Linked DNA regions of Daphnia pulex. The protein of the gene in region 4 purifies or fractionates together with the protein of the main gene of each other region. This does not show direct contact. Links are inferred from orthologs where the notes say so. Each region holds a gene or a part of one and is shown on either strand. Other genes may lie near its edges.

Evidence for each region.
Region 1: the proteins of protein max-like (region 4) and YY1-associated factor 2-like purify together in Homo sapiens (affinity purification with mass spectrometry; 3 studies listed by BioGRID and IntAct, with this or other methods). This does not show direct contact. The link is inferred for Daphnia pulex from reciprocal best matches to the Homo sapiens genes MAX and YAF2.
Region 2: the proteins of protein max-like (region 4) and ruvB-like 2 purify together in Homo sapiens (affinity purification with mass spectrometry; 3 studies listed by BioGRID and IntAct, with this or other methods). This does not show direct contact. The link is inferred for Daphnia pulex from reciprocal best matches to the Homo sapiens genes MAX and RUVBL2.
Region 3: the proteins of protein max-like (region 4) and histone acetyltransferase Tip60-like purify together in Homo sapiens (affinity purification with mass spectrometry; 3 studies listed by BioGRID and IntAct, with this or other methods). This does not show direct contact. The link is inferred for Daphnia pulex from reciprocal best matches to the Homo sapiens genes MAX and KAT5.
Region 5: the proteins of protein max-like (region 4) and paired amphipathic helix protein Sin3b-like purify together in Homo sapiens (affinity purification with mass spectrometry; 3 studies listed by BioGRID and IntAct, with this or other methods). This does not show direct contact. The link is inferred for Daphnia pulex from reciprocal best matches to the Homo sapiens genes MAX and SIN3A.

Annotation. Positions count from the first base shown.
Region 1 is NC_060019.1:11,515,150-11,519,159, forward strand, and holds YY1-associated factor 2-like, read right to left. Parts: upstream 2,337-4,010; 5' UTR 2,209-2,336; coding exon 2,177-2,208; intron 2,004-2,176; coding exon 1,948-2,003; intron 1,875-1,947; coding exon 1,805-1,874; intron 1,735-1,804; coding exon 1,582-1,734; intron 1,503-1,581; coding exon 1,286-1,502; 3' UTR 725-1,285; downstream 1-724. Other genes in the region: ubiquitin-conjugating enzyme E2 N, read left to right, coding at 179-360. UniProt on the Homo sapiens protein: Binds to MYC and inhibits MYC-mediated transactivation. Also binds to MYCN and enhances MYCN-dependent transcriptional activation. Increases calpain 2-mediated proteolysis of YY1 in vitro.
Region 2 is NC_060021.1:8,103,116-8,108,043, reverse strand, and holds ruvB-like 2, read left to right. Parts: upstream 1-1,555; 5' UTR 1,556-1,651; coding exon 1,652-1,657; intron 1,658-1,764; coding exon 1,765-1,878; exon of another isoform or gene 1,879-1,938; coding exon 1,939-2,059; exon of another isoform or gene 2,060-2,078; intron 2,079-2,130; coding exon 2,131-2,281; exon of another isoform or gene 2,282-2,320; intron 2,321-2,350; coding exon 2,351-2,513; intron 2,514-2,573; coding exon 2,574-2,703; intron 2,704-2,799; coding exon 2,800-2,898; intron 2,899-2,973; coding exon 2,974-3,086; intron 3,087-3,157; coding exon 3,158-3,378; intron 3,379-3,443; coding exon 3,444-3,582; intron 3,583-3,649; coding exon 3,650-3,764; intron 3,765-3,832; coding exon 3,833-3,861; 3' UTR 3,862-4,067; downstream 4,068-4,928. Other genes in the region: uncharacterized protein LOC124194162, read left to right, coding at 395-442, 512-646, 735-887. UniProt on the Homo sapiens protein: Possesses single-stranded DNA-stimulated ATPase and ATP-dependent DNA helicase (5' to 3') activity; hexamerization is thought to be critical for ATP hydrolysis and adjacent subunits in the ring-like structure contribute to the ATPase activity.
Region 3 is NC_060018.1:12,585,636-12,590,343, forward strand, and holds histone acetyltransferase Tip60-like, read left to right. Parts: upstream 1-1,772; 5' UTR 1,773-1,823; coding exon 1,824-1,895; intron 1,896-1,957; coding exon 1,958-2,015; intron 2,016-2,089; coding exon 2,090-2,158; exon of another isoform or gene 2,159-2,222; coding exon 2,223-2,531; exon of another isoform or gene 2,532-2,598; coding exon 2,599-2,673; exon of another isoform or gene 2,674-2,745; coding exon 2,746-2,942; exon of another isoform or gene 2,943-3,004; coding exon 3,005-3,088; exon of another isoform or gene 3,089-3,150; coding exon 3,151-3,475; exon of another isoform or gene 3,476-3,539; coding exon 3,540-3,702; exon of another isoform or gene 3,703-3,769; coding exon 3,770-3,986; 3' UTR 3,987-4,073; downstream 4,074-4,708. Other genes in the region: arginine-hydroxylase NDUFAF5, mitochondrial-like, read left to right, coding at 33-268; threonine aspartase 1-like, read right to left, coding at 284-724, 785-883, 946-1,129, 1,195-1,478, 1,538-1,639; serine/threonine-protein phosphatase 2A regulatory subunit B'' subunit gamma-like, read right to left, coding at 4,082-4,199, 4,266-4,393, 4,458-4,671. UniProt on the Homo sapiens protein: Catalytic subunit of the NuA4 histone acetyltransferase complex, a multiprotein complex involved in transcriptional activation of select genes principally by acetylation of nucleosomal histones H2A and H4.
Region 4 is NC_060026.1:15,127,086-15,131,006, forward strand, and holds protein max-like, read right to left. Parts: upstream 2,200-3,921; 5' UTR 2,026-2,199; intron 1,938-2,025; 5' UTR 1,888-1,937; coding exon 1,825-1,887; intron 1,738-1,824; coding exon 1,687-1,737; intron 1,616-1,686; coding exon 1,508-1,615; intron 1,464-1,507; coding exon 1,322-1,463; intron 1,265-1,321; coding exon 1,113-1,264; 3' UTR 875-1,112; downstream 1-874. Other genes in the region: lysosomal-trafficking regulator-like, read left to right, coding at 1-111, 170-419, 481-682; uncharacterized protein LOC124205464, read left to right, coding at 3,415-3,765, 3,829-3,921. UniProt on the Homo sapiens protein: Transcription regulator. Forms a sequence-specific DNA-binding protein complex with MYC or MAD which recognizes the core sequence 5'-CAC[GA]TG-3'. The MYC:MAX complex is a transcriptional activator, whereas the MAD:MAX complex is a repressor.
Region 5 is NC_060024.1:9,531,238-9,536,249, reverse strand, and holds the start of paired amphipathic helix protein Sin3b-like, read left to right. Parts: upstream 1-1,661; 5' UTR 1,662-1,853; intron 1,854-2,360; exon of another isoform or gene 2,361-2,943; intron 2,944-4,034; 5' UTR 4,035-4,071; coding exon 4,072-4,233; intron 4,234-4,294; coding exon 4,295-4,627; intron 4,628-4,694; coding exon 4,695-4,855; intron 4,856-4,919; coding exon 4,920-5,012. Other genes in the region: 40S ribosomal protein S27, read left to right, coding at 103-131; AP-3 complex subunit sigma-2-like, read left to right, coding at 668-736, 797-888, 941-1,124, 1,191-1,415. UniProt on the Homo sapiens protein: Acts as a transcriptional repressor. Corepressor for REST. Interacts with MXI1 to repress MYC responsive genes and antagonize MYC oncogenic activities. Also interacts with MXD1-MAX heterodimers to repress transcription by tethering SIN3A to DNA.

The DNA.
Region 1 (4,010 bases), on a different chromosome or scaffold from region 4:
TATGCATGTATAATCTTGTGTTTTGGTTATCAGGGTATACCTGTATTGTTATGACATTTGTGCTTTGAATTTTTAAGTAACTGGGGAAAAAATCAGTTTTAACTTCAGAAAGTTGCATTTGCTTGAAAAACTTAAGTGTGTGGATTTGGCTTTGTTTAATATTTTCTAATATTTTCAGATAAATGGAGTCCAGCTTTGCAAATTCGGACAGTGCTGTTGTCGATTCAAGCTCTATTGAGTGCGCCCAATCCCGATGATCCATTGGCCAATGATGTTGCTGAGTTGTGGAAAGTCAACGAGGTAGAAGCTATTCGTAATGCTCGAGAATGGACCAGAACTTATGCTATGGGAAACATATGAAACCTGGATCTGTGGAAGGAAAAAGAGTAAAATTGTCAATCCGTTACCGAGAAATTGTGTTTGAATTTAGATTATTTTGCTTTCTTTTGTTCCTCGTCCATCAGCCTTTGTCGACTGATTCCCCTCCCTTCAATTGGTTGAACTGTCCCCGATGGTGATCAGCCAAAAAACTACATTTTGCTCGTTCTTATATCCCAATCTTCTTTTGTTTGCTCGTCAAAAGTTCTATCGACGGTTCATTCCAATTCACGCGTCGTTAAAATGATCGTCGATAGCCTACACTTTTTACCGTTTAGTACCACGAGTACCTCAAAAGGATACTAAAGAATAATAAAAATGCCGTCACCCGTGGAAGTCTAGAGTATCAAATTGTACAGCTGTGTATTTACTTGTCGTGGATGAGGAGGGTGAAATTATAAAGACGGATGAGAGCGCACATTTATCACGAAACGAAAACCATCCACTCGACAGACATAATCAATTTTTTACCAAATCTTCCCCGACCTCTTCGCACCGTTCAGATGAGGTAGGTTCAAACCGAAAAAGGGAAGCGAATATTGGTACTGAGATCCGATCAGAAACAGGAATTCCCAACACTCAAAAATAATCTCCAACATTATGGAATTTCGTGGTTACAAAAAAAAAAAAGGGAAAAACTTTGAATCCAGAATAGTTATAGACAACTGCCTCTTGGTTTTTCATGTATAGTTTTCGGTTTGGACGTCTGTCGCTCCAGTTCTATCTCACTGAAATTCGGTTGGGACCAAATTATAGCCTTTATAGATATTTAAAAATTATATACTTCTTGGCAGTTGAGAAAAGATCGGTATGGGGTCAATTGGGTGCGCAAACAAATACAGTTCAAATAAAATACCTCGAGATGCTAAATAATAATAAAAAAATGAATCACGAGCAACGACTTTAGTCAGTCTGAATGTTCTTGATCTGCAGGGGAAAGATCGTTGCCGTGATTGCTGGCACTACTGCTAGAACTACTGGTCGTGTGTCCAGCATCCAGATCAAGGTTACTGGGAGATGTTGACTTGCTGCTAATTTTTGGCCGAAACTCAGTAATGACTACTGTCACATTGTTCACTGTCACTTCTTTGTGCATAGCAGTGCTTCTGTCAACATTTTTCAACCTATTTTAAACAAACAATTAGCAAGTCACACTGAAGGATAGATATCAAATTTTGTTTTAACAATTTTATTAAAACATACCTTGGTCTGGCTTTACTGTTCCTGGTGGGGTTTCCATCTGATGATTTCCTCTCAGATTTATCTCTTTCTTTAGATTCCTTCTCTTTTCTATTTTTGTTAGCTAAGGAAGGATTGAACACTTGAGGTACCAACTGAGGATTGAGCCTTGGTTTCCTGAAAACGTGCAAGTTTTGTCACATCTGTTAAATGTTTAGAAATGGTAATATTGCTAAGGAAAAATTACCTGGTTGAGGTTCCTTTTCTTACATCACACATTGAACATTTAAATGCCTCTGCATTATTTCTGTAGGTACCTATGTAAATAATACAATGTTCGTCACCATTTGTCAACATCTTTTGTTTTCATATTGCGCTTTGTCAACTTACAGACACTGCAGTCCCAGTAATTTTCTTCAATTTGCTTGCTACTCCGCTTCGCCCTTCTTGAAGGTACAGAAACCCCCATTAATATGATTGAAATACTTATAACTAGCATAATTCATAGTTACAAAAATAAATAAAAACAAGAATATGGTCGGTCAAGGCTACACAATAGGTGTACGATTGTCCCAAGTCCTTCCCTCAAAATCGAAAGAAAATAAATGGATAAATTTACCTTGCATTTGGACTGCCTTTCTTTGAATCCATGATCAAAACGATGTGAATCAATCAAAATAATTCAACTACTCGCAAACTTCGAATTAAAATGTAGGAATGGCATTACAAAATACGTTATTAATACGCGTTATTCTGTGCTTTTCGGCTACAAACAAGATATCGATTATCGTGTGATCGATACGGAAACTTTGACATTATTTTCAAAACAAAACATTGTGATTTGGAAAGAATTTCTTTTTATCAAATGCTTTACACTATATAATAAATATTATGGGGTGCGGATTGAACACTTTTTCCAAAAAAACTTTTCAAAAATCGATTACCATATTTGATTTAAAAACAAATTGATAATCGTTTTGAATATTGAAATCAAGTTGAAAATAAATTCAAAAATTGAAAACGTTTTGAAAATGAATTCATAAATTGAAAATGATTTTGATAAATGAAAATGATTTTGAAAAATGTAAATGATTTCGAAAAACTAAAATGAATTTGAAAAACTAATATGATTTCGAAAAATGAAAACGAATTTGAAAAATGAAAATGAACTTGAAAAATGAAAATGAACTTGAATATCCATACAATTTCGGGAGTGCGATATGACACCACCCTACTCTATCCCCAGCTCTCTCCGGATGCTATAGCCACCCCGAGACAACCGACTAGCCATTGATGGCTATGTCGCTGATTCCAGCCAGCAAGGCCGTCAGCGATACTGTCAGCCCTTGCCGGGCGGTGCTGGCCACCGCTGCCGCCACAACGGCCGCCGCTAAAGTCTCTCTCGACCGCAGGCCGAGTATTACCCTACACAAAAATAGATTACACGATCCAACGTGAAAAGTTTCATGTTCCTGCAGTAAATGACACACAGCCTACCCAGCAACGATGAAGACGCGTGAAGACGGAACGGCCGAATGGGTGGCTTTCACCTGAGAAAAGTTCCAGTCACGCCTCGGTATGACGTTCTCGCGAAGTTCTCGTCATTCCACTAACTGCCAATTGCCCGGAAAGAAGTGTTCTGGTACGTTTCGCTGGATAGGCCTATGCGTCCTGTACTGCTGCGATACTCTGCCGTTCAATCCGACGAGAAGAAGAAGGCGGACACGCGACACGCCGTCTTGCTGACGTGGATCCTCATGTTGGTGCTGGCCCTGCTGGAAATTATCCGCTATCTAAGCGGATTGGGGAGCTGGACTTCTCTATTGTCTCTACGTCTTTGCCATGTGGTCCACTTGCGCCGGAAGTGATATACAATTGGGCCATTTCCAAGGAAGAGCTCATTGGAAGGATGGCTCTGTCTCAGCTGCAGCGACGGATTGAACACCAAAAATTGGCGCAACGTCTATCTTTTCTACCATCATGGAGGCAGCGGACATGGCGGTGGAGGCCAAAGAAGAGGATCCAAATGGTCATGTTGCTCATGTCCGTTTCAACAGAAAAGCTTTTTTTTCATGGCCGGCCTCAAATAAAAGTAGTCGTATAGGAACATGAAACTTTTCACGTTGGATCGTGTAATCTATTTTTGTGTAGGGTAATACTCGGCCTGCGGTCGAGAGAGACTTTAGCGGCGGCCGTTGTGGCGGCAGCGGTGGCCAGCACCGCCCGGCAAGGGCTGACAGTATCGCTGACGGCCTAGCTGCGCCTAGCTGGCTGGAATCAGCGACATAGCCATCAATGGCTAGTCGGTTGTCTCGGGCTGGCTATAGCATCCGGAGAGAGCTGGGGATAGAGTAGGGTGGTGTCATATCGCACTCCCGAAATTGTATGGATATTCAAGTTCATTTTCATTTTTCAAGTTCATTTTCATTTTTCAAATTCGTTTTCATTTTTCG
Region 2 (4,928 bases), on a different chromosome or scaffold from region 4:
AGAACAAGATAAGCGTAACTAGAATCAATTTGTATTAATGATTACACGTTTGCTTCGATGAAGCCATCAGACGGACAACTTGTCGAAAGACAACGTCGAATTTATTATACCATCAAAGCGACTGTATAAACATAAATCTACATATAGAAATCTGATGATTTCTAGTTGCCAATTTAACCTTTTGAAAAACAACCAACTTGTTTCATTTACATATCAAGTTTTGGTTTTCGTCACCCAAGGGAATAGGGGATTTTTTCCTTTGATAAATGGGTCGCAGAATTTTCTTTTTTAAGTGAAACAATGCCTTCAGGTGTTACCTTTTACAAACTTGGCGGTATAAAACAAACACCTGGCTAAATTTTTCGGCCACTTTGACTAAAACCAAAATCGCGACATGGTGTCCCAGACTCTGTTATTCGGAGCTCTGCTTTTGTCGTTTTTGGTAAGCCTCTTGTTTTACGAAATAATTAATGAATTCTTAATCATTCGTTGAACAATTACTACATACGAGGTTGCAGATCGGCTGGAAGTAGTACAAGCCAGGCCCCCAATTAACTTTGCGGAAGAAGGAAGAAAAATTGACAAATATCACGTTTTGGGACTTCGCGGCAATTTTCACCGAAGGATTATATATATCAACAACATAGTACGTAATAAATATAATGGCAAATTGATTTGCACACATTTTTTGTCGTCTCTTTCTAATGCTTTGAACGATTACTTCCCATTTTTAGCTTTCAGACAAAGACTTGCCTAGAAAAACAACCAAATTAGCTGGCAAATTGGTAAAGAACAGTGTTCAGTTGGTTTTGTTGAGCTATTTAGATTACTTTACTGGCGGAATAACACCTACACTACGGAAGACGGTGACAGCGAAACACGGTTAATCAAAAATGTATAATTGTTTTGTTATTTACATTTAAAGTAACAACCCTGCTAAAATACTATGTCAACCATGAAACTGTTCATCTACAAAAGAATGAAAATTTACAAAAATCGAGGTATATTTTTTCCATGTGAAAAGTAACACAAGTCTCTTTCTCTCCCGTTTGGGAATCCCGTTACAAAAATGAAAATCTCTCTAAGTCTATGTCTCACTCAATGTACACTGAATTCACTTAACGTTTGTCCTGAAAATGCACGTGTCTCTGATCCAACAAATTTTACTTTATAACATTCTGAATTCCACATTTTCTAAAATTTTCATTTGGAAAAAGTCAGTAGATGCTAAATGGTTTGTGTAAAACAATCATAATCGAATATATGCATAAAAAATCTAAAAAAAAATTTGATTACGTTTGCGTTGAAGTAGTAATCGACACCAAAGATGTGTTTCAGACAGCCACTAGGCTAGCTAATGAGCTTTTGTCAAGAAATCATTGCTCCTTTTTATGCCTTTGAAAGTTGGAGCTAAAATCAGCATTGCCATGTTTGATAATTTTTTTAAGATTCGAGGAAAGTAGTAAATAAGTCGATAAGTGTTTTAAAATTTCATATAATTTAATTTAATAAAATTTAATGTTGATGTATAATATTACAAATGCTTTAAAAAAGAATGTAAAGCGAACAATCAATTCAAAACCGTTTCCATGGATACCACCGGCGTTGAACGGGAAGGATAGGAAACTCAACGCACTGTAAAAAGCAAATCATGGCGGTAATATATACACGTGTTATAATTCTTTATTTTGGATAAAATGGCTAATTTTTCCGTTTCCCTTGTGTGCTTTTTTTATTTCTGGACCATATCGTTTCATTTTTTAGGCGATCCCATCAGTTAAAGTAGCAGAAGTGCGAGAATTCTCTCGAATTGAACGAATCGGTACTCACTCTCACATTCGAGGTCTTGGACTTGATGATGCTTTGGAACCAAGAGAAGTACTTTTGAATAATTTGAATAAAAGAATCGTACAAGTTACATATCAAAATGATTGTTAGGTGTCCCAAGGCATGGTTGGCCAGTTGACAGCACGACGAGCTGCTGGTGTGGTACTGGAAATGATTAGAGAAGGAAAAATTGCGGGGAGAGCAGTATTGATTGCTGGACAGCCAGGAACAGGTTAACATTGTCTTTGAATCTGCAATAAACATCCCATTATTTGGTTTATAACACTTTGGTTTACTTTTTAGGCAAAACTGCAATTGCCATGGGTATGGCACAGGCTCTCGGGGACAACACACCTTTCACATCCATGGCCGGATCGGAAATCTACAGCCTTGAAATGAGCAAAACTGAAGCTCTAACTCAAGCATTTCGAAAATCTATTGGAGTTCGAATCAAGTAGATGTGAACTCAAAATTTGTTCAACCTAGAAATCTTGTAACCTTATTTTTCATTTGTTTTCAACAGAGAAGAAACTGAGATCATTGAGGGTGAGGTTGTTGAAGTTCAAATTGATAGACCTGCTACCGGAACTGGTGCTAAAGTTGGAAAGCTGACATTAAAGACAACAGACATGGAAACTGTGTACGATTTGGGCAACAAAATGATTGAATCCCTCATCAAGGAAAAGGTGTGTAATTTGTTTGACAAAAGTGTTTCAATTTTGTATACATATCTTTGTGTGGTTCAGGCCCAAGCTGGAGACGTCATTACCATCGACAAAGCCACTGGCAAGATCTCGAAACTCGGACGATCGTTCACTAGGGCTAGGGATTACGACGCAACTGGACCGCAAACCAGATTTGTTCAGTGTCCCGAAGGTATATTATTTAAATTCCAGTTTTGGTCAAGTGGTTTACGACGACGACGACGACATCGTACGATATTCTTACACCACTCCTATTCTATTTACGTAGGCGAATTACAAAAGCGGAAAGAAGTGACTCACACAGTCACCTTGCACGAGATTGACGTAATCAATAGCAGAACTCAGGGTTTTCTCGCCCTCTTCTCTGGTGAGCTCACATACATTTTTAATTTCCCGACCTTGAAAGTTTACAAAATTAAATCTCTTGTTTTGCATTCAATAGGGGATACTGGTGAAATCAAATCCGAAGTCCGGGACCAGATCAATAGCAAAGTCGCCGAATGGCGCGAAGAGGGCAAAGCGGAAATCGTCCCGGGAGTTTTATTTATTGATGAAGTTTGTGATTAAATCTTCATACCATTCTCCTTCCTGCATATATTTATTCGTACCGTCATGTCTCGACGTAGGTGCACATGCTAGACATGGAATGTTTTTCATTTTTGAATCGTGCTCTGGAAGATGATATGGCGCCAGTGTTGATTATGGCCACTAATCGTGGAATTACTAAAATTCGCGGAACCAAATATCGGAGTCCCCACGGCATCCCAATTGATTTGCTTGATCGGATGGTGATCATTGCCACGCAGCCGTACGTGGAAAAGGAAATGAAGCAAATTCTGAAAATCCGGTAAAATTATCATTTCAATTATTTGATGCGTTGGCTTTGCCTTAATTGATATTTTCTTTGCACAGGTGCGAAGAGGAAGACGCCGAGATGACGGAAGATGCTCTACTCGTTTTGACGAGGCTTTCCTTGGAAACTAGCTTACGCTATGCCATTCAGCTCATCACGGTTGCTAATCTCATAGCTCGCAAACGAAAGGCCATGGAGGTTGGTATTCAGACTGTATTCAGACAGCACGTTATTAATCATTTGCTTTATGCTCTTATCTAAATAGATTGCCGTAGAAGATATTAAAAAGGCGTACACGCTATTCCTGGATGAAACCCGTTCCACCCAGTATCTGAAGGACATTCAAGATGAATTCATGTTTAACGAAGAGGACGAACCAAGTAAGTACCTGAATCATTACGTCTGAGATTTTCTTTTGTGTATTCATTGAAAAATAACATTTTTACAGAATCTGACGTCGCCATGGAGACATCATAACTTAACTCAAAATTCCATTTTGAATGAAAAAGCTTTTTTTTTCCACATTTGTATCGTCTATCAAATAATCCCGTCAAAATAAAAAAGACGCCAAAAAAACAAACAACTACACTCACACGTACTGTTTAAACTGTTTTTCTTCCCGCCTCGTAATAATTGTGTACACCCGAAAAGAAGACAAAAAATACAAAAACACTTTCGGTCAAGCTGCTAGTTTCGGTTGATAGGTGGCTCTGAATGTCCTAAACTCGTCGCTTATTTGCGTCCGTTTGTTACGACTTTTGTGTAAGTAATTTTTACCACGAAAAAGAAGGGGAGGGTAGAAAAAGAAGTTACCACCATGTATAACCCGCCAACACCCGAGCCCTCGAGAGGTGCACCAATCAGAGACGCATCACCTGGTGAGGTAAAGGCGTCGCTCCCGAACCCTCAGTCGTCCGTGAGTGCACCCGCAATAATTTCGTGTCAAATCCGTCGCAAGTCAAGCCAGCGAAAAGGGAAATCAGCACACACACAGCAGCAGAAGAGGAGGCGAAAAAAGACTTTTTCGGCAACGCCGCCCACACTATTCGGTTCGTGAGAGAGCCCTGGCTCACTGCAGAGCGAGGCCTTGACCTACATTTTCAGTCGTGCAGCAGTCCCGCACACACACGCCACCGTATTCGCGAGCTGTGTGTGTGTGCACACAGCCAACACCAAAACAATTTATTTTGAAAATTATCAAAAAATTCCGTATACACCCCGACGAAAAACTGTGCCTATTTCCATCGTTCAGTGTGTGTCCCGCGTGAAAAACAAAAACTCAACGTGATTTCGTACATATAATCCTGTCGAGTCTTTGTGTGCACACAATTTTTTAGTTGAATGACATTCGTGAAAGGGTAAAAAAGTGAGTCGTGTTGTTAGTTTATTTCGTTTTTCATCCCCTCATTTTCTCTTTCAACGAGAGAGCGTGAATGGTGTGTCTGTGTGATATTTTATTTTGTTATTTTCAGTGAGTCAGTGGGACATACAAGTGGTTGGTTTGGTTGTGGGGTCTCTATATACCCATCGCCTCAGGGTCGTTT
Region 3 (4,708 bases), on a different chromosome or scaffold from region 4:
TTAGTTTTGCTAATACCCCTCTTGATCAATAGAACTCTATGGAAATGAAGACGGGTCTATTCCAGCAACGTTTCAGATTATTTACATGATCGGGTGGAAACCTGATCCTTCACAGCCTAAACCCCTCGAGCGCGGAACAGGAGAAATATCCATTAAAGATCTCTATCGGCTCGATGAAGTCGTGAAAAATGCCACCGAGAACATGGTCAAGCAAACTGCTAAAGAAATTACTCACAATTTGGAGGATAACGACGGGAAAAAGATGTAACGCTTGTTGTTCTCCTTAATTTATTAGTTTCACAATAAAGCCTTCCATAGTCAACCTACTGGAATGTGATGAGTTATTTGCATTTGTCGGTGTCGCAAGCGACGTGTTTCGAGACACCCGAACAATAGCCTTTTCATGGTTAGTGCTCATGAAACCGACGACCATCGAATCAGTTGTGAAGGCCATGTTGAAATCTATCGAATCTTCGCTATAATACGCCACTAGAACACCACCCATCCGGTCATAGACGTCATCAGACAGCATTTCTGAATGGATGAACTCGTCACACATGAGCTCTTTCAAGTGGAAAGCCGGATCTCCTCGCTCTAATATGGTTTGACCAAGCTTCTTGGCCAAGGTTGTTTGGATGAGTTGCTCGCCACAACCAGAAGTTGACACAGCAACACCACCGGAGCTGGAATGCTGCGCCCAACAACCACAGCCGTAAACTGGCACCTATCGCAATATACACATTGTAAATGACTACTAAAATGACAAGAAGGAATAAAGGAAAACCTGTCCAACTCGGCCGGGAAGCTTCATAGCAATTCCTCCCGAACTCGATGCACTTGCAATGTCACCATTCGTATCTATGCAAATTACTCCTACTGTATCCTAGATTTAAAAAATAACCATGATATTTGGATAACATTACTTTAGGAAACCAAATATATTACTTGACTTGGGTTTGGCTGCACTGTGATCTTTAGCCCACTTGATAAAGCTTTTCTGGATACTTCCAGCCGTTCTTTATATTTCTTATACTTTCTCATGGCTTTGTCAGATATAAGAGTGCTATTGTGAACAAGATTCAAACCTCGGTTTTTAGCAAAATCAGACGCTCCTTCTCCTACTAGAACACTAAAAAAAAGGCTGTGTTAATTTAACCACTCATTTTAAGTGATGCAAATGGTATTTTGAATTACAGTGGAGGTGTTCTACCAAGAAGTCTTGGTTCATTCTGGTATAAAATGATTTCTTTGGCTACCATTATAGGATTTTTAATACTTTTAAGTGATGAGACTGCTCCAAATCGTGTGTTTCTTTGATGTTTCAAAGACAACATGATTCCTGCATCACATTCAACTTCACCGCTCTCAGTGAGATTGGAGCCATATCCTGCATTAGTTAGTGGTGAATCTTCTAATATGCAAACCAATTCACACGTAACATCTAGTGCAGATTTTCCTTCTTGCAATAAAGCTGCTCCCTGGGAAAAACTTATCAAGTCAAACTATGAAACCATGAATCACTAATAGAAAGCCATGCCTTTTCACACGTTATTTTGCAAAGTTTTTTGTAAATAGCTTCAGATTTTGAACTATGGCAGCCTGCTCCAAGATGAATAGCAACAAATCCATACTGTGACATTTTTGCACTTTTATGGTTTAAATTTTGTCGAGAATTTTCATAACCGAAATTTCATTTTACAATTTGAAATGGGACTGATCGGTCCAGTTTGTGAGAGAGCTAGCAGAAGACTACCATTTCCAACCGGCAAAAGCGGCAATGTCGCTCATGGCCGCGCACTGTTGTTTTGAAAGCTTTTTCTCTAATGAAGACCGAACAGTCATTGTCAAAAATGAAAGAAGAGATTGTAGATAAAGATCTGTTTTCAGATTCAACTGTATGAATTTTTACATTATTTCATTAGAAACCATGTTTAATTTTGTTTATTCTATTATCTAGGCATCTGTTGTTGAAGGCTGTCGGTTGCCTGTACGGATGAGAAACACCGAAGACTGGCGTAACATTTGTTGCTTTGTTATCATTTTATAGATTTGAAAGTTTAATTGTGGTTTTTCTTTTGTTATCATTTAGCTCTAGCCGAAGTACTCAGTGTCAAAGATATCTGCAACATCAGGATGTTTTATGTCCATTACATCGACTGTAAGTTTTGTATATGCTATGTTTAACGATACATCATCTTACAAAATTTTTAATTCAACTCTAGTCAACAAACGACTTGATGATTGGGTCTCAGAAGATTTCTTAGATACGAGAAAAATTCAGTTTCCTAGAAAAGATGGAACTCAAGTAGGCACAGGCATGAGTACTCCTAAAAAAGTTGGAGGAACAACTGGTTCTTCCCGTCCTTCTTCCCCACTAGCTGCATCCAGTGCATCAGACCTTACTGTCAATGGGTCTGCTCTACTGGCTGCAGCAATACAAAAGAGAAATGGAAGAAAACGTAAAATTGGAGAAAAAGAAGAGCCCAGTCCAGGATCCATTATTCCAATCCCACCTGCCAAGAAACTTATAAGTAAAGTTATTTTATTTCATTAATTCTTTACATTTTTCATAAATTCTTTTAAATTTTATTTTTATAGAAATTGAAAAAGAATTACCAGCAATCCCCACTCTGCCACCCACCGTAGTTAGCGATAGTTGTGCTGTTCCTACAAGTAATTAGTCATTTTTTCTACAATCTATTTATTATATATAAATGATTATTAAAACTAAAATTTTCTGCATAGGTGATTCAGTTTGTGAGGTAGGAGATGCTAACTCTCCGGCCCCACCGTCCACCCCTGCACCGACTACACCAGGGCCACGTCAGTCGGGCAGTCTTGTTACACATCACGATGACGTTGTAACACGAATGAAAAATATTCAAATGATTGAACTCGGCAGACACAGAATAAAACCTTGGTATTTCGCACCCTACCCTCAGGTATGTCATCATCTAACGAACGTAAAGATCCGAAATGTTTACTATTCTTTTTCAAAAATTAGGAAATGGTTCACCAAGCTTGTATTTACATATGCGAGTTTTGTCTCAAGTACCGGAAAAGTGAAAAATGTCTAGAACGTCATCTGGTAATTTAAAATTTTACGATATATTTTTAATTGGATGATCAACCCTTAAACTTTTTCTACAGATGAAGTGCAATCTTAGACATCCGCCAGGCAATGAAGTTTACCGCAAACAGACAATTTCTTTTTTTGAAATCGACGGCCGTAAAAATAAAGCATACGCTCAGAACCTATGCCTGCTAGCGAAACTGTTCCTTGATCACAAGACACTGTATTACGACACTGATCCGTTCCTCTTTTACGTCATGACTGAAGTGGATGCACGAGGTTTTCATATCGTCGGCTACTTTAGCAAAGAGAAAGAAAGCTCGGAGGACTACAATGTCGCCTGCATCTTAACATTACCACCCTATCAACGGAAAGGATATGGAAAACTTCTTATTGAATTCAGTGCGTACAGAATCGTAAACCCAAGGGGAAATATTTTTTTAAAACCATTTTTGTTTACGTAAAGGTTACGAGCTGTCCAAGTTCGAAGGCAAAACGGGCTCGCCAGAAAAACCTCTGTCCGATTTAGGGTTGCTGTCTTATCGCAGTTACTGGGCTTTTACAATCTGTGATATTCTGATGAATATGAAACCATCCAGTGAAGGTGAACGTCCTCAAATTACCATCAAGTAAGTGATGTAAATTACTTCATTCTAGAGCTCACGTTGACAAACGAATTCGTTTTAATTTAAATAGCGAAATTTGCGAAATGACGAGCATTAAAAAAGAGGACGTGGTGTCCACCTTACAGCATTTGAACCTCATCAATTACTACAAGGGGCAGTACGTACTCATTCTGAACGAAGAAGCGATGAAAAATTGCATAAAAAACAAAGAGAAATGGAAATTACACATCGATCCCAAATGCTTGCACTGGACACCGAAAGACTGGTCCAAAAGAGGGAAATGGTGATGAGATCGCACCTACAATCCATTCCGCGATCTTGCTACTTCTTTGCTTTTTTTTAAAAAATACACTCACAATTTCTATGTACAAGAATTCCAAATTCAAATGTCCTGTTTCTCTTGGTTATTCTTGTCTGTTACGACAACAGCTTCACGGTTCTCGTATGTCCAAAATCCATCCAAATCAATCAAGATATTGATCACAGTTTCACCGTATCCACTGAGCCAGAAAACGTTCAATGACAATCTTATTCTAAAAAAATTCTAAATGAACTTTGTGTGTTACCAGTTAATCAAATCATGTAAAGTGATTTTTGACGGATCGGCAGGACGCACCATATCGAAAATCTCATCATTGACGTCGTCAAAAGCAACGACTTCTTGTTTGTGCTGCTGCATCAACTCTTGAACCCCCTGCAAAGCATTTTTTTTTTTTTCAAGATAAGAAAGTCAAAAGGTCAAATGAGGAAATTAATACTTTGAAGTAAAAATGGAGGTCAAAAGTGTTGAGATGGTTTCGATGATTGACGTCCAACAAACGGAAAAAATACTGAAGTGCTTGTGGTTCCTTTTTATTGTCCATGGCCAATACGAAATCCAAGTACGTTTTATAATCCATTTCTTTCTCATAGGTCATGCACTCCTCGAATACTCGTTGAATGAAAACTCGCGTCAACGTGCCAGTTCCGAATCTGAAAATTAAATTTAAAAAAAATCTTAAATGTACGT
Region 4 (3,921 bases):
AACAGCTCGTCTTGTGTTCGTCGTTCAGCCTCGCTGTCTCCAGTGGAAGTGATGGATCAATTATCCTCTGGGATCTTCATTCTTTGAATTTTATCCGTCAGCTCACTCCAGGTAATTCAACTTCAACATCCATCGACCCAACATTAAAATTTTTTTAAATTGCCTATAGGTCTATCAAATGACCGGAAAGATATAATACTACCAGTTTCTCAATTGGCCGTCAGTCGTAATACAGCTGATATTGCATGCGCTGTCAATCTGGACGATCAGCAGTCTCGGCTGGAATTGAGGTCAGTCAATGGGCATTTGATCGGCATGACAACGACGAATCCTCTCATTACTTCGTTGTGTTTCTCATCTGCTCCCGAGGGAATTTCTATCAATGTGGTAGCTGCCGGGCTATCCAATGGTCGCATTAGGTAATTCATCAACTAATAAGTTTGTTTTTGTTCCTACTTGTTAATTGTTTTCTCACTACAGATTGTGGGATACTTGGACCCTAAATGTCGTACGAGATATCATCACTGACTCCTCCTTGTCGATAGTCAGTTTGACATATTCGAGCACTTCACAGCATTTACTAGCCGCTAGAAACGATGGTTCTCTGCTAGCTTGGGATAGTCCACATAACCACAAAAAATCGCCTCGCTTCCCACCCTTTATCAATTTAACTTTGCAATGATGATACTTTTCAAACCCGTAGATATGATATGTAAACGCGATTAAAGAGGAGATTTTCATGATTTTAATCACAGGAAATTCAAAAAAGGATAGAATCTCTTGAAAATTTTTATAAATTTAGCTTTATAATGTTACACATGCAAATCTGAATATAATTACGGTAATCTATTCGCAAGAAAGTGATGAAACTTCATTTTTAAACGAAATTTTGTCTTTATTGGCTCGAACTAAGCACATAACAAGGATGTATCCAAATCACTCTCAGCTTATTTGCACAGCGAATGAATCAGAGCAGGGAGAGGGTGAGGTGGAAAAGTACGAAAAGAGAGTCGAATGAATCAGGACTCATGACACAAAATTGCGATTTCCTAGGTCGCAGAAGGTACAGAGACACACAAACAGTCAATATGAAGCAGATCTCAATAATTTAGCTAGACAGATGTTTTCATCTTTTTGTTGGACCGTTTCCCTTTGGTACTGTTTTCCCTATCAGAACCTTCAGAATCTTCCTGATACTTTCCAGCCTCAGCTTGGGTATGCATGTCACCTACATTAAGCATTTTGGCTTTCTCCAGGGAGCGAACTTAACAAAGAAAAGGTTAAATGTTGTACTGATGCAAAACAAAAAAAGTAAACATACTTTGAGTTTGAAGGACTTCATTTTGCCTTTTGAGATCATCAATATCCTGCTGGTGGGCTGCATTTTTCCGTCTCATGAATTGTATATAATCAGCTGCCTTCTTCAGTATTTGAGCACGGCTCGCCTGAAACCGAGAGCCATCCTACAATTTTATTAAGTGAGATTTGCTCGACACTTATGTTTTACTTTTTCTCCCTGTAACGAGGGAACTGAATCTCGAAGTCCACTGAAGCTATCCTTGATGTGATCTCTCCTTTTCCGTTCCAAGGCATTATGGTGTGCTCTTTTGTCAACCTGTTCATCCAAGCACACAAAGTGTTGATAAAGAGCTCTGTGCCAGGTAAAACACACAAATAATATCTTACTTGCTGAGAATACTGTCCAGAGCCTCGTGAATAGCCACCTCCATCCTCCTCCTACAGCAGATGATAGAAAGTAAGTTTTAGTAAGTGAATGTTTTAAAAGAGGTCAATGCAGCTAAACCATCTTGTTCAACAACTTACATCACTTTCGATATCTATATCTCGTTCATCATCGCTCATCGATGGGGAAACGGCATAGGACATGGTCGTAATCAAGCCAGACAAACTAGGGTTACCAACAAGAAGACTTCAAGCTAAGGGATCAAAATTTGCAGATTAGGGCCAAAACACTTCCAACGCAATAGTTACGTTCAAGGTGATCGAGATAAGAAACTGCTATACCAATTTGCTTAAAGCCTGATAGTCGATTTCTCTTTGTGTAAACACGTCACGAGTGTGGGCAAAGTGTTGTATTCACGAGACTAAACAGCAAGTGAACAGCGCATCGAGTTGTTGAGGTGCACTTGCGATGTTGCCAAATGAGCGCAATTCATTCCAACAGCAAAATTGTTGCCAACTTGCTAATTTCGCCCGGCAACAAGGACGACATTACGACAAGGATATTTATAATTCTTTACAAAATTAAAACAAAAAACTCCTTAGTCCTTATTATAAAAATTTGACGGATTCTGACATTTTTATTTGATTGGCGGAGGATCACTCAGAGTAAATGCGGCAAATAATAAACTATTGTGCTTCAAACACATGTTTGATGACAAAGTTGAAAATTATGGAATGCAAAATCTCTTCTCCAATCAAGGTGTGGTCACATATAAAAGGTGCGCAAGAATATACCTGCGTTAGAAGAACCACACGCGAGAAACGCTTCAATGTCGAGCGAGTAGTGAACCGAGGAGGTCATCCACTTGACTGTTTCCACATTCCACTAACTGCGATACGCTGATTTTGGGTGCGGGCAAACATAGTTTTAAAATGTCTCGCCAATAACACGCCCAAAGAAGTATAGTGACCTCCACATTACATTAGCGTTTTTTAAAAAATCCCAAAATGATAAATGATGCCCAATATTCAACCTAACACGCTAAAACAACTAAAACCTTATAACTTATATTTGATTGTCTTGGCTTCTCTTGACTGAAGGTTGTCGTCACACACGTGCATGCCGAGTGTACACCCATCACGGAGAAGAGAGTCCATATGAATAGGAAAAAATTCAGACCCAAAAAACCTTTGAGCGCTAGACCACGTATATCTTATTCCATGATTAGAATCCCGAGGCGATTGTTGCGCCAAAAGGAGAACCAGAATCTCTTGTGTTAAGGTCATTGTAGGAAAAAATTTATAAAATGGGATACTCGTTATAGTGCGATTCCTCCTCACGTCGTACCTTCTTCCAAATGGGAAAAAAAAACCGGAAAGTTTGAAGGTTGCGAATGGGGTGTGTCGGATGAGACTTGAGATGTCCATGAGATGATATTCATTGGAAAAACTAGAAGAATCGTGTATAACCAGCAGCAGCAGCAAAGCCTTGATGGTCAGTCGCGTTGTCTTCACATTTGATGCCATTCCTTGTTTAGTGTTGAGTTGGCGTCGTGCAAGTTGGATGTGCTGTTTTAACCTTTCCATCAACTTCTTTTTGTTCACGGATAACAGGAATTCAAAAGTGGATTGAACCGCGTCATTTTGGTATGAACATTTCATTCAATTACAGACTTGTATTTAAAACAAAATTTCCTTTATCTTACACCGTTCGGAACAGAAATTGAAGAAATGTCTGCTGAAGAGGATTACAGTGCTGGTTTGTTGGAGAATTCCCATAACAAAAAGCCGACTCACTCTCAGGTTATCAAAGAAGTAATCAACTGGTTTTACGGGCCCGATGCAGGAAAGCTCAGTAAAGAATGGAGCAAACGACTTTTGCGGCCGAGACCGCGTTTGACGCAGGCACTCAGCACCACCACGCCGGAATATGTCACGTACGACACGGCCAATTACCCCGTACTACACGGGCCATCCGCCAGGATTCCCTATCACGTCATCATATTAGGAGGTGTTTTAATCCTGGCCGTCTTTTATCTTTTACTTTTCCTCGTCATCAGTCGTTTACGGTGTTGTAGAAAGGTAAACCAGTTATTACACTATTTCTTGGGGAATTTCATTATGAAATATTCGCCATTTTTACAGAATCAACAGCGAACGGCTCGCCGGAGGAGCAGGGAGACTTGGAGGGAAGCCAATGGATTGTATCACATTGAAGGAGATGTGCTGGGCAGTGGT
Region 5 (5,012 bases), on a different chromosome or scaffold from region 4:
TATAACAATAATCTTGATGTCTCCTGAAAGTAGCAGTGTAGAATGTTAAACAGAATTCATGTTAGTTTCTTTGCAAAACTAATCAAATCGTTTTCTATTCAGGCTGCTCTTTCCGCAGGAAACAACATTGAAGAAATATGCAGTTTGGCCTGGCTGCACCTTATTGTACTTCATCTAAGATACCATTCATATGTAAAGAGTGAATACAAGTTGCATTGTCAAGGCTATTCTGAGTCTTTGTTTAACTGTCTGAAAAGTATAAAGTGTATCTGTGCAAATAAGCCTTAACATGGCAAGTCTCGTATAATTCCTTCTAACACGCAAATCGTAAAGGGTACATCTTAAAACCGCGGACATGTTGGGACATGTCTATGCTGCAATGCTAATATGACGTCTTATTGTGCAACAGACGATTGACACGTTACGGTCGTGACATTAAGGACAAAGTCAATGTATGAAAATTAAACCTGCGAGTAATGTCCGACTATCCAAAATAAATATTTCATTATGACTGACATTGACATTTCCTATTTATTTATTTAAAATTTTGGAATCAAAGTTCTAAATCTGACCACAAGATGTCTAATTGTCGTTATTTGTTTCGTCTGTCTTGACAGATCGTGTGTGCTGAGTACTTGTTTCATTCTTGAAATCTAATTCTTCGGAAATGATCAAAGCTATACTCGTGTTTAACAATCATGGAAAACCTCGTTTATCCAAATTCTACCAATATTTTGTAAGTTGAAAACGTTTAGGCGCTTTATACTATTGAAACTAACAAGTGAAGTTGTGACAGAATGAAGACATGCAACAGCAGATTGTTCGTGAAACTTTTCAGCTTGTTAGTAAGCGCGATGATAATGTCTGTAATTTCCTTGAAGGTGGAAGGTATGTTTAGTTATAATTTGTTATAAAAATAGTTTTTAATTCTGAATTTCAGTTTGATAGGAGGATCTGACTATAAATTGATCTATCGCCATTATGCTACTTTATATTTTGTGTTCTGTGTTGATTCCTCTGAATCTGAGTTAGGTATACTAGATCTCATTCAGGTATTTGTTGAAACCTTGGATCGCTGCTTTGAAAATGTTTGTGAACTGGATTTGATATTCCATGTGGATAAGGTACATTTATTTATTCCTTCACTTGTCAATTGTCTTTTAATTTTCTACTATTTTGATATCTTCTAGGTTCATTACATCTTGAATGAGTTAGTCATGGGAGGAATGGTTTTGGAGACCAACATGTCTGAAATTTTAAGTCGGATAGAAGATCAAAATAAACTAGAAAAATCAGAAGCAGGGCTTATTAGCCTCAAGAATGTGAATCTTCCTAATTTACCCAACATTCCTCAGCAGATAAAAGATATTAAACTTCCAGATCTACCTCAAGCTATCAAAGACTTAAAATTCTAATGCAATGGCTCTCAATTCTAAATAATTTTTGCTGTATTGAAATACACCATATATACGTTTAAATTATGCTGTTATTATTATTTTATGTCTTTTTATCAAATTCGTATGTTTATGTTTTATCAAATTCGTGATTCTGAACGTGATAGATGGATTAAAGATTTTCGTGAAAAAAAAATAGCTTTTAGTACTGTACGATAGATGGCCATTTTCCTATTCAGTTTGAACATAACTTCCCGCTTTCAAACAGCGCCTGCTGTATTTTCCCATCTCGCCGCCATCATTCGTCGTCTGGCCAGTTAATACCTCTGTTCCTCTCTTAAACAACTAACGTGTATTTCAATTGTTGGTGAATTTCAGTGATTTTTCTCACTTTAAGAAGCATGCTTGAGTGATCTTTGATCAACTAGAGACTTAACTAGCAACATTTTCTCTCTTTTGGTAAGTTATTCGACTTTATTCGTTATTCATCTCGTTAATGGTTTTCTTGGGCATCACGGCATCACGAAGAATTTGCAAGTTCACGCAAGATGTTTATTTGATGGAATGGGAATGTTTCAGCGTCGTTTTATCGTTATCAAAACCTGTTAATCGCGTAAGTCAAATAAAGTACGGTTTTGACGTTAATTATAGAAAGACATGATCGTTTAGTATGTGTTGAGCTCTCTAGGATCGAACTTGGGCTGTTTGAGCGTGGCAACACAGCTGATGGTTTGTGTCCCTTTACCCAACCCCATCATTCTGGATTTTCTTACCTCCCTCAGGCTACGCGTTTCCGGACCTTTTGAGAGCAGGCAGGCCAGGCCTCTCTACCCCCTCTCCCAAACAACACCCAACCCCTCGTTTCGCTGCATCCCGATAGTGCAGCATTGCCGGTTTACCAACTAGTTTATTCGCATTTTTAGAGTTTTTTAAAAATCGAAATAAAACGTCATTTTCCACATTTCGAAATTGTGTTTATCGCAAGTGACATGAGAACGAGCGGCGAATATTGTTATCAGAGTTACAAGTCTTAACGCGATCGATTGTTGATGGTTTCCAGCGCCAGCACTAGTCGCTCCGTATCAGGCATGGCGAGTAGTGTCGGTAGTTTCAGACGCCAGCAAATTCGAGTCACTCTTCGAAAGAGCACTACAGTGAAAAGCCTCTGGGTCGTCGTCACCTAGTTGTGAGAGATCCCAGACGACGTGTGTGTGTACATGTTTGCCTCTGCTCTCTGTGTGGCATAGTGAGAGATTCCTGAAGAAAGTGAACGCCATTTCTTCTTCATCGTGAATTAAATTGAGTAAAGGGTTTGCAACTCGAGTTTCACGTGATTCGACCGTTAGTGTACTCAATCCGGCGATAGTTTCTTGGAACTATCCGAGCTTAAACGAGAGGGGGAAAAACGACGGCCATAGTTTCTCTTTTAGTACTACTGCTGCTTTAAGCAGAAACACAGTGTAAGCGTCGGCGTTGTGTGAAACTTTCGATCTTCGGTTTTCATAGTTTCTTCACATGGACATTCACCATTCATTTACGCTGCTTAAAGGTGACCTTCATTGACCTTACGTTTTCTTTGATTTCTCGTAATCGACTCGTTCATTTTAGTCGTGTCTTGGTCGTGATTGCTCGTCTTTCATTTCCCATTCTTTTAACATAATTTACTTGATAACAAATGGTTGACATGGAATTGTAATGATCTAGATTTGAACAGAGGAAGAGTTTTTAAGTCCCGTGAGACTTGAAAACTTGTAGCAAAAGAAATGTCTTATTATGTGATGTGACGTGTGTTGTGTACGGCATTCCTGTGCTCATTGCTGGCCAAAGTGAAGCGGAGACCGCTCTTTTTCGCCTTTCGATGAGCCAATAAGAAATCGGTTTCAAACCGCTTCACAGCTGTTCTGAGGTTGTGCGTCTCCCTTCGAATTCTACCCAATATGGAGTCGGTCCACTTAGGTCGGCGTTATTATCGAAGCGCTTCGCATCCACTATTTCCTCCAGTGTTTAGTCTGCGTTAGTTCTGCTGCAAAGTAAAGTCTATGATAATGGTTTCAGAGGGAAAACAGTGGAATATCGCTATTTTTTCATTGTTACAGAGGTTGTTGGATGCATGACGAAAACGGGATTTTTGTTGATTGAACGTGTCTATTGATAGGTACAAGTCCGTTCTGAATGGTCTAAAAGCGGTTTTAGTGGGACCGCAACGTTGCCATATTTAGTATACTCCGTCTCCCACATACTATTTCCGGAAAGCATTTGAAATCTCGTGGCAATTGACGTTTAATTTCGAACATCCCTTTTAAATGAACAAAACTGTCTTTTTAAATTTATTTGCAGCAACAAATTTCAGTTAATATTTCTTTAAATCCAGTTGTTGTCTGTAAATTCCCGATTTCCTTTGTCCGGCAGCAATGTTGTCGTTTCTCTTTGGGCGGGAAAGGCGGTGGGATCGATATTTGTGTTGAGACCCGAGGAAGAAGACTCCCGGGTTAGTTGAATAATCGATCCGTCCGCTGAGCAACAGACGCAGCTCTGCAAAAAGTGTATTTAGCTTAAAAATAAAAATGACTCTGAAAACTGCATTGCTGGCGTCCAGTGGGATTTGTTTACTAACTGTCTGTGATTTGTGTTCTTCTACAGTCGGCTGTCTAAGCAATGCCCTACAGCTGGATTGAGAATGAAACGCAACGAAGATTCCGTACACATTTCGCCCTCCGCCGTTGAGTCTGTAGCACGACCATTGAGTGGATCAATCCAGTCCGGCCGCGTCTCCCCTACGTCACCTATGGTGAATGCAATACTAGTTGGAGACTTGAGGAACGCTGCAAATCAGTTACAGGTACATCCTTTTCCCATAGTGTTGCTGTGCCTGTATACTCAATATATTCATTGCTAAATAGGAGCCCTCCATAGCAGCAAGTATGGCCTCTTTTAGTACAAGTGGGTTTGTGGCAGCTGCGAATGGCAGCACCACAGTTACAATTGGTCCTATTGGCACCAGCCCACCAGTGCCATTCTCTACTACTATTCAAACAACGAAAGCCTCCACTGCTGGTGGAGCAACACAAGTTGTGGCTCAGCAACAACACATCTTCCATCAGTCCCTGGCACATCAACAAGCACGTCACAGTTTGGCTACTGCTGCTGCCCCAGCTGGATCTCCTCCGACAGGTCAATCAACATCTCAGCAGACACAACAGCAGCAACAAAATACAATGCAACAGGCTTTTCAGGTGAGAAACTTTAAACATTTAATAGTTTGTGTGTGTCCGTTATTGCTAACTATGTATGTCTCTATAGCAAATGACTGCTGGTCCTCATGGCCCTGGTGCCCAGCAATTTCAGCGATTGAAGGTGGAAGATGCCCTTTCATATTTGGATCAGGTCAAATACAAGTTTGGCAACCAACCTCAGGTTTATAATGATTTCCTTGATATTATGAAGGAATTTAAATCTCAAAGGTAAGCATGGGTGTTGATTAAAGAAAAGTAAGGCTTTGATTAACATGGAATTATGATCTTCTAGTATCGACACACCCGGTGTCATTGCTCGTGTTTCTTCTTTATTCCGCGGCCATCCGGAGCTCATTGTGGGATTCAACACTTTTTTACCTCCTGG